3 linked regions of the Caenorhabditis elegans genome follow. The protein of the gene in region 1 interacts with the protein of each later gene in a pairwise test. Each region holds a gene or a part of one and is shown in the gene's direction. Other genes may lie near its edges.

Region 1 (3,017 bases):
CATCAGGAATTACAAGAAAAAGTGACAAGTAGATGCATATCTCGAATAGAAAGTGAGGACATGAGACGAGATTGAACCAACCACCAAAGCAGATACCATAGGCGTAATTGCGAATTAGTCCTCTAGGACCTTTTCTTGTATTTGCTATTTGTTCGGCTAGCTGATGTTGTTTCCAATTGCAAATCCAAAAAAGGACAGCTCCAGCCCATTGGGTGAGAGAAATATCATCAATTGACACGTGAAGCTGAGGTACTGTGAAAATAAATTACTAGAACATTTCAGATAAGTATCTTCTTACATTTGGAAGCAACTCCCTGTGTTTCACACATAATTGAAATTGGCAGAATGATGTAGTGGACTATCCCAACTGCATAGTGAAACAAGTTCATACGACTGTCCGAGTAAACACTGACAAATATTGTTTCATAGAGACGTCGTGCTACGTGAAGGCTTATGAGCAGGAGAGCCAAGATTGATGTGCTTGGGGTAACTGAAAACATATTTATTTCAACTTAAAAGTGTATAATATGATATTCTAATCAAATTTCTAATTTCTGAAAATTTGAGTCAAAGTTTTGGTAATTTGCCAAATGGTATTTATCTATTTTTAAATTTACGAAACGTTTGAAGTTTTTGAAAAATTTAAAGCAACACCACATGTTTGAAGCCCTACAGTGATTACATAAAATATTTGAAACATTATTAAAATATAACATTTGTAGAATACAATATTTTTGTTGTTTTACAAAATTGAGTAATAGACACTTTTTGACTGAAAATAAAAAGTTTAAGTTCTACTGAAAATTGAAAACAATGAAATTAATACAACTGCGTCGCGACTTCGCATATATTCCAAAAACCACTAATCAAAAAAAAAAAAAGAAAATCACTTTTTTTTTAAAAGAAAAACTTACTTGGTGGTATACTGTAGGATCGTGTTAGCGTGGCAAGAATCTTGAGAACCACTGGATGCAGATAATTAGGATTGTAGATTAACGAGTGGACAGTGTGTAGACATATAAAAAGTGTTAGAAGACCGATTGCGTAAAAATGCTTAAACCATCTGAAAAATTTCAGACAAGGATAGAACTCCCAAAGACTAACTGTACTCACTTTTTAGGTACAGATATTTTTTCTACCAAAGAGTTATCTTCTTGTTGATCAGCAGCTTTTCCATATGTAGTTAGTGCAGGTATCAATCGACAAACGTGAGGACATATGAGAGTAAAACAACATGAAATGGCAAGTCCAAGCGTAGATACTAACAGATAAAGGGGCAGTGCTTGGCGCACTTCCCAAAGTCTATCTAACATTCTGAAATGAATAATTGTATAGAAAAATCAATGGACACAGAAAAATAAAGTCAAAAACGGAAACAAGAAGAAAAGAGCGGAAATGAGTAATGGAAACATTTTTGGACGAGGGAGGAGCCGACGCAGAGTTTCTTTTTCTGAGGAGAGAATACGCCAAACGAGTGCAGCTGCAAGTGTGTAAGTGCGCGATGAGAAAGTAAATAGAAAAACCAATGGCAGATACTGGGCAGTTGGAGTTTTGAAAAAAAAATAAAGAAAAAAAGAAGTAAAACGTTTTCTTTTGATTTCACAGGTCGTTCAATGTAAAATGTTTCTAAAATGTTTGTCCGAGAGGAGTACATGGCCGAGAGAACGCGTGGCCGTGGCCTAGTTCTAGGAACAATTTTAAACGTTGATTTATTTATTTTTTGCGTCGATTTGGAACAAATCTCCGCATCGTTCGAGTTATAATTTCTCTCCTTATTTTAATTTTCATTTTTTCAAATATTTAGCAAGCTGCGCTAGATTCCTCCTAAGTTTTTCTCATTCGTTCGAACGATTTGTCATCACTTTTCTTCAGAGAAAATATGTCTCACATTTTTGATGCGTCTGTGTTAGCTCCACACATTCCTTCGAATCTTCCTGACAATTTTAAAGTTCGTCCCTTGGCAAAAGACGATTTCTCGAAAGGATATGTTGATCTTCTGAGTCAGTTGACTTCGGTCGGAAATCTTGATCAGGAAGCATTTGAAAAGCGATTTGAGGCGATGAGGACCTCGGTCCCCAATTATCATATAGTCGTCATCGAAGATTCCAATTCTCAAAAAGTTGTTGCATCTGCCAGTTTGGTTGTCGAAATGAAGTTCATTCACGGGGCAGGAAGTCGCGGAAGGGTTGAAGATGTTGTCGTGGATACTGAAATGCGTCGTCAAAAATTAGGAGCCGTTCTTTTGAAGACTCTTGTTTCTCTTGGAAAGTCTCTCGGAGTTTACAAAATTTCTCTCGAGTGTGTTCCTGAACTTCTCCCATTCTACTCACAATTCGGGTTCCAGGACGATTGCAATTTTATGACTCAGCGCTTCTAAATTTCACACGTTAATTCATTGATTATTCTGCTAATGGGGTCTTGTAATATGGTTTTTACGCATAATTTGTTTTATCGTTTGGTCTGATTTCTTTCATGTATTTATTGAATAAAGTTTAGATGGAAACCGAATTTGGATTGACCGAGTATGCCAGTGAGCATACAATCACTCCTGTGCCCTGCCTACTGAAAGAAATGTACAGTGACTTCATCGTTCAAGAAATTTTAGGTTATTTAATCAAACTCAATTAATGTTACTAGAATTAATTTTATTTTCAGCCGACCACACAGTTTTGGCCATTCCATCGCCAGATGTTGTCCTAGAAAGTACTGGGTCCAAAAAAGAAGACATTGAGATCGAAGAGTGTGTTGCTAAGCCAGATTGCATCTCAGAAGAGACATTAGCTGCATTAAATGACCGATTCTCTACGAAAGGAGATCCCGTTCTTGTAAAAGTTGACGATTTGAGCAAGGAAGATCGAAAAAGCATTCATCATTTCATTAGAGAGCGGTATGCTGGAGTTTTAATCACCGAAACGAAGGAAGATGGAATTCTGGTATCTCATGGTCATACGAAGAGCAGTCGGAAGCGAAAACTATGGGATGAAAAAGTTCCAAAGGAATGTCACTTCACCATTTGC
Region 2 (4,338 bases), on another chromosome or scaffold:
CGTAATTACTGAAACTTTCAAACCAAGTCATTTTCAAAACACCCCGTGTTACAACAGCAAGAGCATTTGCTACTCCGCTGTATCGTTTTCTAATTGTTTTACATCCGGCTTTACGTAATTTTTTACAATGAATGTTCACCTTTCCTCAACTTAATCAATGTTGCTAAGCTAATGATTAGCTAAATAAAATTTTGAACAGTAGAACGCTTAAAACTCTGAAAAAGTGTTTTCGGTTTAATTTAGAGCAACAATTCTTTTTTTTTGGAAAATTAATGTAATCTTGGTAAACCGGCTTAGAAAATTAAAAATTCTTGATTATTTTGAAATGTGTTTTGTGTAATATCCGTCAAAAGTGAACATATATTTTATGCAGCTCAGTTTTTCTAAAAAATAGACAGTCCGTTTTTTTCGTGATAAAACGTTTTGTGAACAAAAAGCGAACATCGCTGCCAATTTCTTTTCAGACAGTCAATGCTGTAAATTTGTGTCCCATTGAAAAAAAACGAGTTTTGTTTTCTTTTTGCCCCCCGCCCTCATACACATACACACACTCCGAGATAAAAGAAGCGGCATGGAAAATTCATGTTGGCCAGACGATTCTGTCCTTGAGAAGATGCTGACGATCTGGCGGCATTTATCATTCTTCTTCACCACCATTCCCAATCCTTCTTTTTCATTTTTTTTTGTTGTCAGTTCAATCGAATCTTTCTACCAATACCTTTTTAGATAAAATCTAAAGATATTCATTGCCGACTGTGGTTTTGTTGTAATATTCGGTCAACTTTTCCGGTGAGAAAATTTGTTATTTTGTGAGTAGTCCTTTCATAATACCTCAATATTTTGCAGAAGACCTTTGAAAATTCAATATCCACTGTGAAAAAAAAATTATTGATGTTTCCAAAATGAGCATAAACATTTCGAGGACCTGTGACAAATGCTCACGCTTATTTTTACATAAACATGAAACTACTTACCCATACTACTAAAAGTACTTTTTTTTAAAAGAAAAATAAGTTAGATCATTAAAATTAGACTGTTTAGCTTAACGAAAATGGTGCTCCAATTTAACGAATTATTTCTATTTTTGGGTGAAAATCTAGGCAATTAACATGTTTCGCTTTTCTTATTCAAAATAAGCAAGTTGTAAGAATTTAAAAATTGTCCTCATTCATTATTATCAATCCAAATATTCATCAAAACTGGGCAAAATGTTTCTACAAATGAATCGTTTTAGAGTTTTAGGGTTTTTGGGAATATCTGTTACCAAAAACAAAGTTAAAGACAAATAACACTGCTAAGTTATAGAAGGGCTTTTTTTTGGGGAATTCGGCACAATATTTTGTTAGCAAAACTTCAGAATACACTCTTATTTGTTACATTAAAATTAATTAGTGTTGCTTAAATTTCGAATGTTTTATTTTTTGTCCATGCGAAATGTATCCCAGCTATTCTGTATTAATGCAACTAATTAAGAAATTCAGAACTGTTTTGCACGTTTTAACACGTAGAATATATCAAATTCAAATAATCAAAACATAATTAGAGTAGTTTCTGAAAACTATTTTAGGTAAACATTTTTCAAAAATTAGCATTTCATAAATTACTATAATATTAGAGAAACTACGGTAGTTCAAAGAAGTGTTGAAAAGTTTTTCAATGTGATTTGGCATATTTGTAACAGTAGTATTTTGTTTTTCCAACACTGGCTCGACTCTTTTCAATTCTGACACTACTCTTTACTTTTTTTTTATTGTTTCTTCTACTTCTTTTTTTGTAATTCTTTTTTATTCTCGAAATGTACTTTATTTCCAGGTAGTGAGGACATATAATCTATAAAATCTGTTACTTCCGCTTCCTGGTGTCGTTGTCCACAACATTTAAAAAATGTCAAATTCTGGTGTGAGTTCTGAGATTAGCGCATCCCGTGCAGCTGCGTTTCTATGGAAACGCAGCTCATTTCAACGGGATACTTGAGATTTACACCTAGTGTGTTTGTGCCTGTCTTTTCGGTATATATTACACACTAATGAATAGAACTAGAGCGAGAAAACATTATCCATATGGTATTCAGATCCAAGACTGTGATCTCATCTACAACGTCTGGCAGTACAACGGGAGCATTTAGTAAGTAATTTTAAAACGTCCTTTATTTTTACAAAATTAAAAAAATAATTCTTGAGTGATTTTTTATGTTTTTCAGCGGTCCGTATGCAGCAGAAGCGGTCTTCAAATTTTACCTGGAAGGCAAACTAAAGTTCCCCACTAGAATTCAAATAACCGAGTCCCGCAAAAAAGGCGCTACGGGATTCTTGGAATGGTTCGGAACAATACGTGAGTTTTACAAGTTTGCTATTGTCTGAAGATATAAACAATCAATCAACCTCAGAAAATGTCCGAAGCAATTTTCCATTTGATTTACAGAAGACCTTCAAGATATTTTCGGCACCCAAGATTTCCTACCAAAGCGCCTATCGCAATTCAAGGGGAAGTGGACGTTGCCTGAAGTACATCCCAATCCAGCACTGTATAAATATGAATCTAACACTTTTATAACATTTAACTTATCAACTTTCCTGAATAATTTATCGACGTCGAGCTATTGTCCTTTTGTCACTGGGTTCAGAGGAGATGTAGCCGAGGAGCATGTTTTACCACGTGAGTTTTAATTGATAACAAGATATCGTATGGTTAGATGCATGTTTAGTTTCTTAGAACATGTAAAAACATTAAAGACGTTTTTTGTCGAAAAAGTGTATTTACATACCAAGAAAAGCTTACAACCGTATATTCTCTATTGGTATTGCACCCAACTACTTCATTTAAAAAATTATATCTCCTTTCATTTGAAAGTATCAATTAATTATTAACTCTATAGAAAAATAACTAACACATATTTTATTTCACTTGTAAAGTTTTTAAGTACAAACTGCCAAGATTGAAAAATGATACGTAATACTTATAGAAACTATACGGTATGTACCAGCATACTAAAAGAATCTTACTATGTATCTACACACTAAAAATCCTTAAAAAACCAGAATTGACATTTTAATTATTTCAGTCTCATCTGTTGTTGAACTTGCTAGACGTATTCTCATGGACTACAGTAATCTTGAGCCTGACGAAAGAAGTCTTCTGCACATTCTTCTAACCGAAGTGTTTTCACCGGTGGGTTTTTTCTTCACCTTCTTTCTATTTCTATCACGTGTTTATGTTCAGAGAGTTTGTGACGTTTGCCAAAAAGTTATGGAAGATGCTCATTCATATTTGATACATGCTCTGTCTTTGATACATTTAGAAAATGTAAGTATACTTTTTTAATCCTTATTCAACATGAGATAATTTCCAGGCAATTGTAAAATGCAGCCGAGCGTTTACAATTGAATTCGATTATTTGAAACTTCGGAAACTTTTTGAGGACGTGAAGAGATACACATTTGAAAGAAAACTGGCAAGAATGATGAGCAAAATTTCTGCAAACAGTCCTGATTTTCCTGGCCACCAATTTGACTGGAATCCCAGCTTCAATTCCGTAAACTTTTATCCAGGAGTTTCACTTCCTTTACAATGATTACCCATCTTTCAACAGAGTTTATCAGTTCATATGTTTTATGTGACCGTAAATGATCTCAAATCATCAATGAGCAATATTTTGCTCATTTTCTTTTTTTTTATGTTTTCGTTTCCGTGTTGTCGACAACTATTGGAAAATAAAACTGTAAATTGATAACTTATTTCAGAAACTGTAAAAACAATTAAACATAATAATTACTTTTTCGTTTAAAATTGGATTTAACCAAATTCAATATTTTTTCAGTTACAGAAAACCTTGATTTTCATCATTTACTGGCAACAAATTACCAACAAAATAATTTGGATTTAATTTTTAAAAAAATTGTATTGTGGTCTTCTGTTGTACGAAATATAGACGCATACAATAAATACGAGGAGTATAGTTTTGCATCGCGAAGCTAGATATCCGTCCGCTGCTGCTGTTAAAAACTAAACAAAAAGTAATATTTTTTATACGTCGTAGACTTGAAGAAAAGTTCAAAGAGAAAAGCGGTGAATGACGCGCTAGGAAATGTGCATTTAAGCCAGAAAAAATTGACTAAAAGATCTAAATAAAAGGTTCACCCGGGGTGATAGAAAACTTACGATCATGAAAAAATGAAACCGGATGAAAATTGCTGCATAAAAAAAAGAAAAGTGGTGATTCTCGAATAATTGTTAAACAACTTCTTTCTAGCAAAAAATAACGTTTCCATAAAAAACAAAAGCATAAGAAAGAGTGTATACGGATTTAAAAAGCGAGAAGAGTTTGTGAGTATTTTGCTT
Region 3 (5,832 bases), 2.8 Mb from region 1:
TTCTTCTTTAGCTCAAATTACAATGCCTACTTATTCCTCATCTTTAGGACCGCCCGTATGCACATTCACATAGAAATAAATACGTGTGCTCAAGGACATGAGCAAAACAGGAAACTTATGCGAGTAAGTATTCGGAGAGCCCGCGGAGGAGCAAACCAAAACGATTCCGCAACTATGAAATGTTTTGAGGATTAGTGGATTAGTAAAACAAAAGTTAGAATTGTTTTGTTTCTGTTCTTTTTTGTTTATTCGAAATGAAAATGTGGGAAACAAGTACATGACCCCGGTGACAAGAAATTCGTAGTATTGGAACTCCAATTATTATATATCCATTTCGTATTGTACAAGTTATGTATAAAGAGTTTCTCCTCGTTTCGGCTTCGAGACATTACAAAAAGAAAAGAGGACATATGTCCCTAGACATTGGATTTCTGGAAAGTCTGCAATTTTCAGCAGTATTTCCCCTTTATCGCCCATTCGATAATTAATCCTGGATTTTTAAACATCAAATTAACAAACTTGTAAAATTTGGCACTTGAAGAAACCACTATGACTGAGATCGTGGCGAGACCCACTAGAAACAGTCAGTTTGCGCCTTTAAACTGCCTAGCCAAAGTTGCGCGAAATTATGATGTATTTTTGATGCATGTGCGTAAATATTTGGGGTCTAAAATGTATTAGCTAGATGTAGGTTGATTTTCAGTTTTTTCAAATTGTAGTTTCACTAAGGGAAGCTTCTTTCAAGCTTCAGAAGGAGACCCGAAGAACTCGGGGGATGTCCAATTGGGGGGATTACCAACTCGGGGGATTTGCCCCGCCCACAGAACCGTGGCTTGCAATACGCCCATTTCTGCAACTGCCGCACGGTTTTAAAATCATTTTTTCTTGTTAATCCTCGCTCTATTGATAAAAATACAGTTTTAAAACCGTGCGGCAGTTGCAGAAATGGGCGTATTGCAAGCCACGGTTCTGTGGGCGGGGCCAATCCCCCGAGTTAGTAATCCCCCCAGTTGGACATCCCCCGAGTTCTTCGGGTCTCTTTAGAAGCTTACTGTATTGGATACCGTAGTTTCTGCAATATGTCGTAATGGTGACTGCAGAGCCGTCGGAAAATGTTTTAAAACTTTTTTTTTTTTTGAAATTTCAGAATATAGAAAACCTTAAATTAAAACAATCTTCCCTCGAAGCTATTCTATAGATTTTCTTCTTTATTTATTTAATAATTTCTGAAATCAAGTTTCAAATAATTTCTCAACCGTTTTTTCCCTATTCGGCTTGTCAACAAGTGAAATATATTGAATTTGAATAAAAATGCAAATGTCAACGCCAGAGAGTGTTCTTTTTCTCTACTTTTTCGATAAATCTTTTTCTCATATGTATAAATTCGGTTTGATCTCGATCTCGAGCGCCTCCGCCGCTACAAGGAGCGCACTTTTTCTGTTTTGTAGGCCACCGCGTGTCGTCTTGCATCACAATCCTCCTTTTTTCGAATGATTTCTATCTGTTTCTCTTCTATTTCATCCGTCTGTTACGCAATATATCCGTGACTTTGCCGGTTTTCCATTAAACACTGTCCATTTTCAGGTTATTACACCCATACTGATATGTCGGCTAAAGCTGTCAGCGAACTCTCAGGAAAAGAGGTATGAAGCTTTATTTTTTATTCGATTGATTTACAAAAACAATTGCAGGTTTTGTACAAATATTTCGAGTCGACCGGAATTGTCAGTGCCCCACATGCTTTTCACGTGAAGGCCGGAGATAAGTTTTCTGACGTCGCCGCCAAGTACGAATGGCTTGCACAAGACAACAAGGGTGTTATCAAGCCGGATCAGCTTATCAAGCGTCGTGGAAAGCTCGGTCTTGTTAAGATTGGGTCTCCTAAAGAGCTGGAAGCTTGGTTCGGCAAGACGGCAAACAGTTATGTGAAAGTTGGCCAAACGGAGGGAAGATTGCACACGTTTATTGTTGAGCCGTTTTGTGCTCATACTGAAAATGAAGAAATGTACATCGCGATCTACAGCGAACGCTGTCGCGATGTTATTATGTTCTATGAGCAGGGAGGAGTTGATATTGGAGACGTCGAGGAAAAGGTTTGTAGTAGGTAATTATTTCTCAAAAATTTTCATATTTTCAGGCCAGATCAGTCCATGTTCCAGTTCAACTTGATGACAATGCTATGTCAATTTCGGAGAGAGAACTAGGCGTGCTTCTCGGGCCATGTAGTGATAAGGATGATATCCGAAAGTTCGTTCGCAGCTTATACGAAGCCTACAAAGCTCTTCACTTCACATACTTGGAGATCAATCCGTTTGTTCTCACCAATGGCAAGATTCATATTTTGGACTTGGCTGCAAAGCTTGACGAGACTGCCAGTTTTCTGTGCTCGGATAAATGGAGCGGTCGGAATGCTTCTGCACGAATCGCTCCGACTCTGGAGTTCCCGGCACCATTTGGACGTGATTTGACTTCGGAGGAGCAATACATTTCTGATATGGATGCGAAGACTGGAGCATCTTTGAAGCTGACTATTCTTAACAGAAAGGGACGCGTATGGACCATGGTGGCTGGTGGAGGAGCATCAGTTGTGTTTACCGATACTGTTTGTGATCTTGGAGGATCATCTGAACTTGCTAACTACGGAGAATATTCTGGAGATCCATCGGAAGCTCAAACTTACGAGTACGCCAAGACTATTTTATCCGTCATGACAGAAGGTGCTCCACGTCCTGATGGTAAGGTTCTCATCATTGGTGGATCCATTGCTAACTTCACAAATGTCGCAAAAACATTCGGAGGAATCGTTCGTGCGTTCGAAACTTTCATTGATAAGCTCAAGGAACATAATGTTTCCATCTACGTTCGACGTGGTGGTCCGAACTACCAAGAAGGACTGCGACGTGTCAAGGATGCTGCCACAAAACTAGAAATTCCGATTTATGTATTTGGACCGGAAACTCATATGACTGCAATTGTCGGAGCTGCGCTCGGATTGAAGCCAATGCCAACAGTCCCGACGGCTCCTCAAACCACCGGACAATTTTTGTTGAGCCCAGAAAGAAACGTATGTTCTAATTATTCATAGGAAATAATTTAGTTTTTGTTTTCAGACTGCAGGCACGGAACGTCCTCCAGCATCTCCAGCTCCGAACACTTCCACAATCGAACATCCTCTCGCCAAGAGGCACCCTCTTCATCAAAGCTTGTTCGAGAACGACACAAAGGCTATCATTTGGGGACAACAACACAAAGCTATTCAAGGAATGCTTGATTTCGATTTTGTTTGCAGAAGACACTCCCCATCAGTCGTCGCTTCAACCTATCCGTTCACTGGAGACAACAAGCAAAAGTATTATTTCGGACAGAAAGAAATCCTTATTCCTGCTTACAAATCTATGGCAAAAGCTTTCGCGAGTCATCCAGATGCCACTGTCATGGTCACGTTCGCGTCGATGCGTTCAGTTTTTGAAACTGTTCTGGAGGCTCTTCAATTTACACAAATCAAGGTTATCGCAATTATTGCCGAAGGAGTTCCAGAAAATCAAACAAGAAAATTGCTTAAAATTGCTGAAGATAAGGGTGTTACCTTAATTGGTCCTGCTACTGTTGGAGGAATCAAGCCAGGATGTTTCAAGATCGGAAATACCGGAGGAATGATGGATAATATTCTTGCTTCGAAACTTTATCGTCCTGGAAGTGTCGCTTACGTGTCCCGCTCAGGAGGAATGTCGAACGAGCTCAACAACATTATTTCACAGAATACCAACGGAGTTTACGAAGGAATTGCTATCGGAGGGGATCGCTATCCAGGAAGTACGTACACCGACCACGTTATGAGATATCAACACGATGATCGTGTTAAGATGATTGTCCTCCTTGGAGAAGTTGGAGGTATAGAAGAATATCGTATTGTCGAGCTATTGAAAGAAAAGAAAATCACGAAGCCTCTCATTGCTTGGTGCATTGGAACATGTGCAGATCACATTACTTCAGAAGTTCAGTTCGGTCATGCTGGAGCTTCTGCAAATGGACAAGGAGAAACTGCTGCATGCAAAAATACAGCTCTTCGTACTGCTGGTGCTTTGGTTCCAGATTCGTTTGACGACCTCGGAAACAAGATTCGTCAGACTTATGAAGAATTGCTTCGACTTGAAATCATCGTTCCACAGCCGGAAGTTCCACCACCTGCAGTTCCAATGGACTATGCCTGGGCTCGGGAACTCGGGCTTATTCGCAAACCAGCTTCCTTCATGACCTCTATTTGTGACGAACGCGGAGAAGAATTGAACTATGCTGGCGTCCCAATCACCAAAGTCCTCGAGTCGGATATGGGAATCGGTGGAGTTCTAGGCTTGCTGTGGTTCCAGGTTCAAAAAAAAATCTAATTTGCCTTGTATATTTTCCTTTTTCAGAAACGTCTCCCTCCACATGCCAACAAGTTCATAGAGATCTGTTTGATGCTCACTGCTGATCACGGACCAGCAGTTTCTGGTGCTCATAATACTATCGTCTGTGCTCGCGCTGGAAAGGACTTGATATCTTCTCTCACATCTGGACTCCTCACCATCGGTGACCGATTCGGAGGTGCTCTCGATGGAGCTGCTCGTCAATTCTCTGAGGCTTTCGATCAAGGGTGGTCTCCAAATCAGTTTGTCGGAGAAATGCGCAAACGTGGAACTCATATTATGGGTATCGGCCATCGTGTCAAGAGCGTGAGTTTCAAGAAAATACAGTTTTTTGATAATTGATGAAATAATTTCAGATCAATAACCCTGATAAGCGTGTCGAGATTCTCAAGAGATTTGCTTTGAACAAAAAGGAGTTTGCTCAAGAAACACCACTTCTCGATTATGCTCTGGAAGTTGAGAAGATCACCACTGCCAAGAAGCCAAACCTCATTCTAAATGTTGATGGAGCTATTGCCATCATCTTCGTCGACATCTTGCGCAACAGTGGGATGTTCACAACAGCTGAAGCTCAAGAAGTTATCGAGATAGGTGCTCTGAATGGAATGTTTGTGCTCGGTCGCTCCATCGGATTCATCGGACATTATTTGGACCAATCACGACTCAAACAAGGACTCTACCGTCATCCTTGGGATGACATTTCATACATCATGCCAGAGAGAAACTTGTGAATTTGATTATCACTTCCCCCACTTCACCCTATTCACTTACCTTTTTAATGCATCCCAAAATTGCCAAAAGTAGGAATAAACTGTACATTGATTTATTGAGTTTCAAATTTCAAAATCATCAGAAAATAAATTTAGAATTTGCGGGAAAAAATGATAGAAAACGCTTAGCTTTGTGGAGTGGCAGATGTTGTGCAACAATAACGATAGGAAGCAGAGGGCAGTCAGACAGTCAGTGAGACAAAGAAAGCTTCTAAAATGGTGTGTGACATCTGTCAAGCCATTTTATTGCCAACCCTCTAATTAACGGATTTTTGACGGAATCGTGCAGATGGGAAACGATTCGGCTTGATGGCTGCGTAAGTAAATCAGCAGAAAATATGATGGATGAATCACTCAAAATGTTTCAAAGTTTTATAATAAAGGACATTTTGAAATGTTTCAGAAAAAAGGGGGCTTTTCTTTATCACCCAACAATTCGAATTGAGAAATATGAAGCCGTTGGTCCTTCATTCTGCATCTTCATGTTCCCTTCGTTCACATCTCCATGGTAACCCGCTTATAAATTCTGGAGACGTACGTATCCAGTCGACTTGAGAATATTTTATTGGTTGCACTTTTAAATACAATTATCAATGTTAGTTGCGAGATGAAGTTGATTTCACAAGCATTCTAGAGCTACGAGATTTACAAAGTAT

Evidence for each region.
Region 2: the proteins of gna-1 (region 1) and C06E2.1 interact in a two-hybrid assay, tested with the Caenorhabditis elegans proteins (one large-scale study listed by BioGRID).
Region 3: the proteins of gna-1 (region 1) and acly-2 interact in a two-hybrid assay, tested with the Caenorhabditis elegans proteins (one large-scale study listed by BioGRID).

What each region holds. Positions count from the first base shown.
Region 1 is NC_003283.11:10,319,014-10,322,030, reverse strand, and holds gna-1 (Glucosamine 6-phosphate N-acetyltransferase), read left to right. Parts: upstream 1-1,879; coding exon 1,880-2,377; downstream 2,378-3,017. Other genes in the region: srdf-3 (Polyprenal reductase), read right to left, coding at 1-252, 299-490, 915-1,063, 1,114-1,313; Putative pseudouridine synthase B0024.11, read left to right, coding at 2,497-2,605, 2,656-3,017.
Region 2 is NC_003284.9:8,872,323-8,876,660, reverse strand, and holds C06E2.1 (GYF domain-containing protein), read left to right. Parts: upstream 1-1,812; 5' UTR 1,813-1,884; coding exon 1,885-1,899; intron 1,900-2,071; coding exon 2,072-2,124; intron 2,125-2,200; coding exon 2,201-2,331; intron 2,332-2,421; coding exon 2,422-2,655; intron 2,656-3,061; coding exon 3,062-3,168; intron 3,169-3,219; coding exon 3,220-3,303; intron 3,304-3,349; coding exon 3,350-3,571; 3' UTR 3,572-3,728; downstream 3,729-4,338.
Region 3 is NC_003283.11:13,114,904-13,120,735, forward strand, and holds acly-2 (ATP-citrate synthase), read left to right. Parts: upstream 1-1,584; 5' UTR 1,585-1,604; coding exon 1,605-1,643; intron 1,644-1,691; coding exon 1,692-2,093; intron 2,094-2,137; coding exon 2,138-3,064; intron 3,065-3,110; coding exon 3,111-4,367; intron 4,368-4,412; coding exon 4,413-4,712; intron 4,713-4,762; coding exon 4,763-5,137; 3' UTR 5,138-5,229; downstream 5,230-5,832.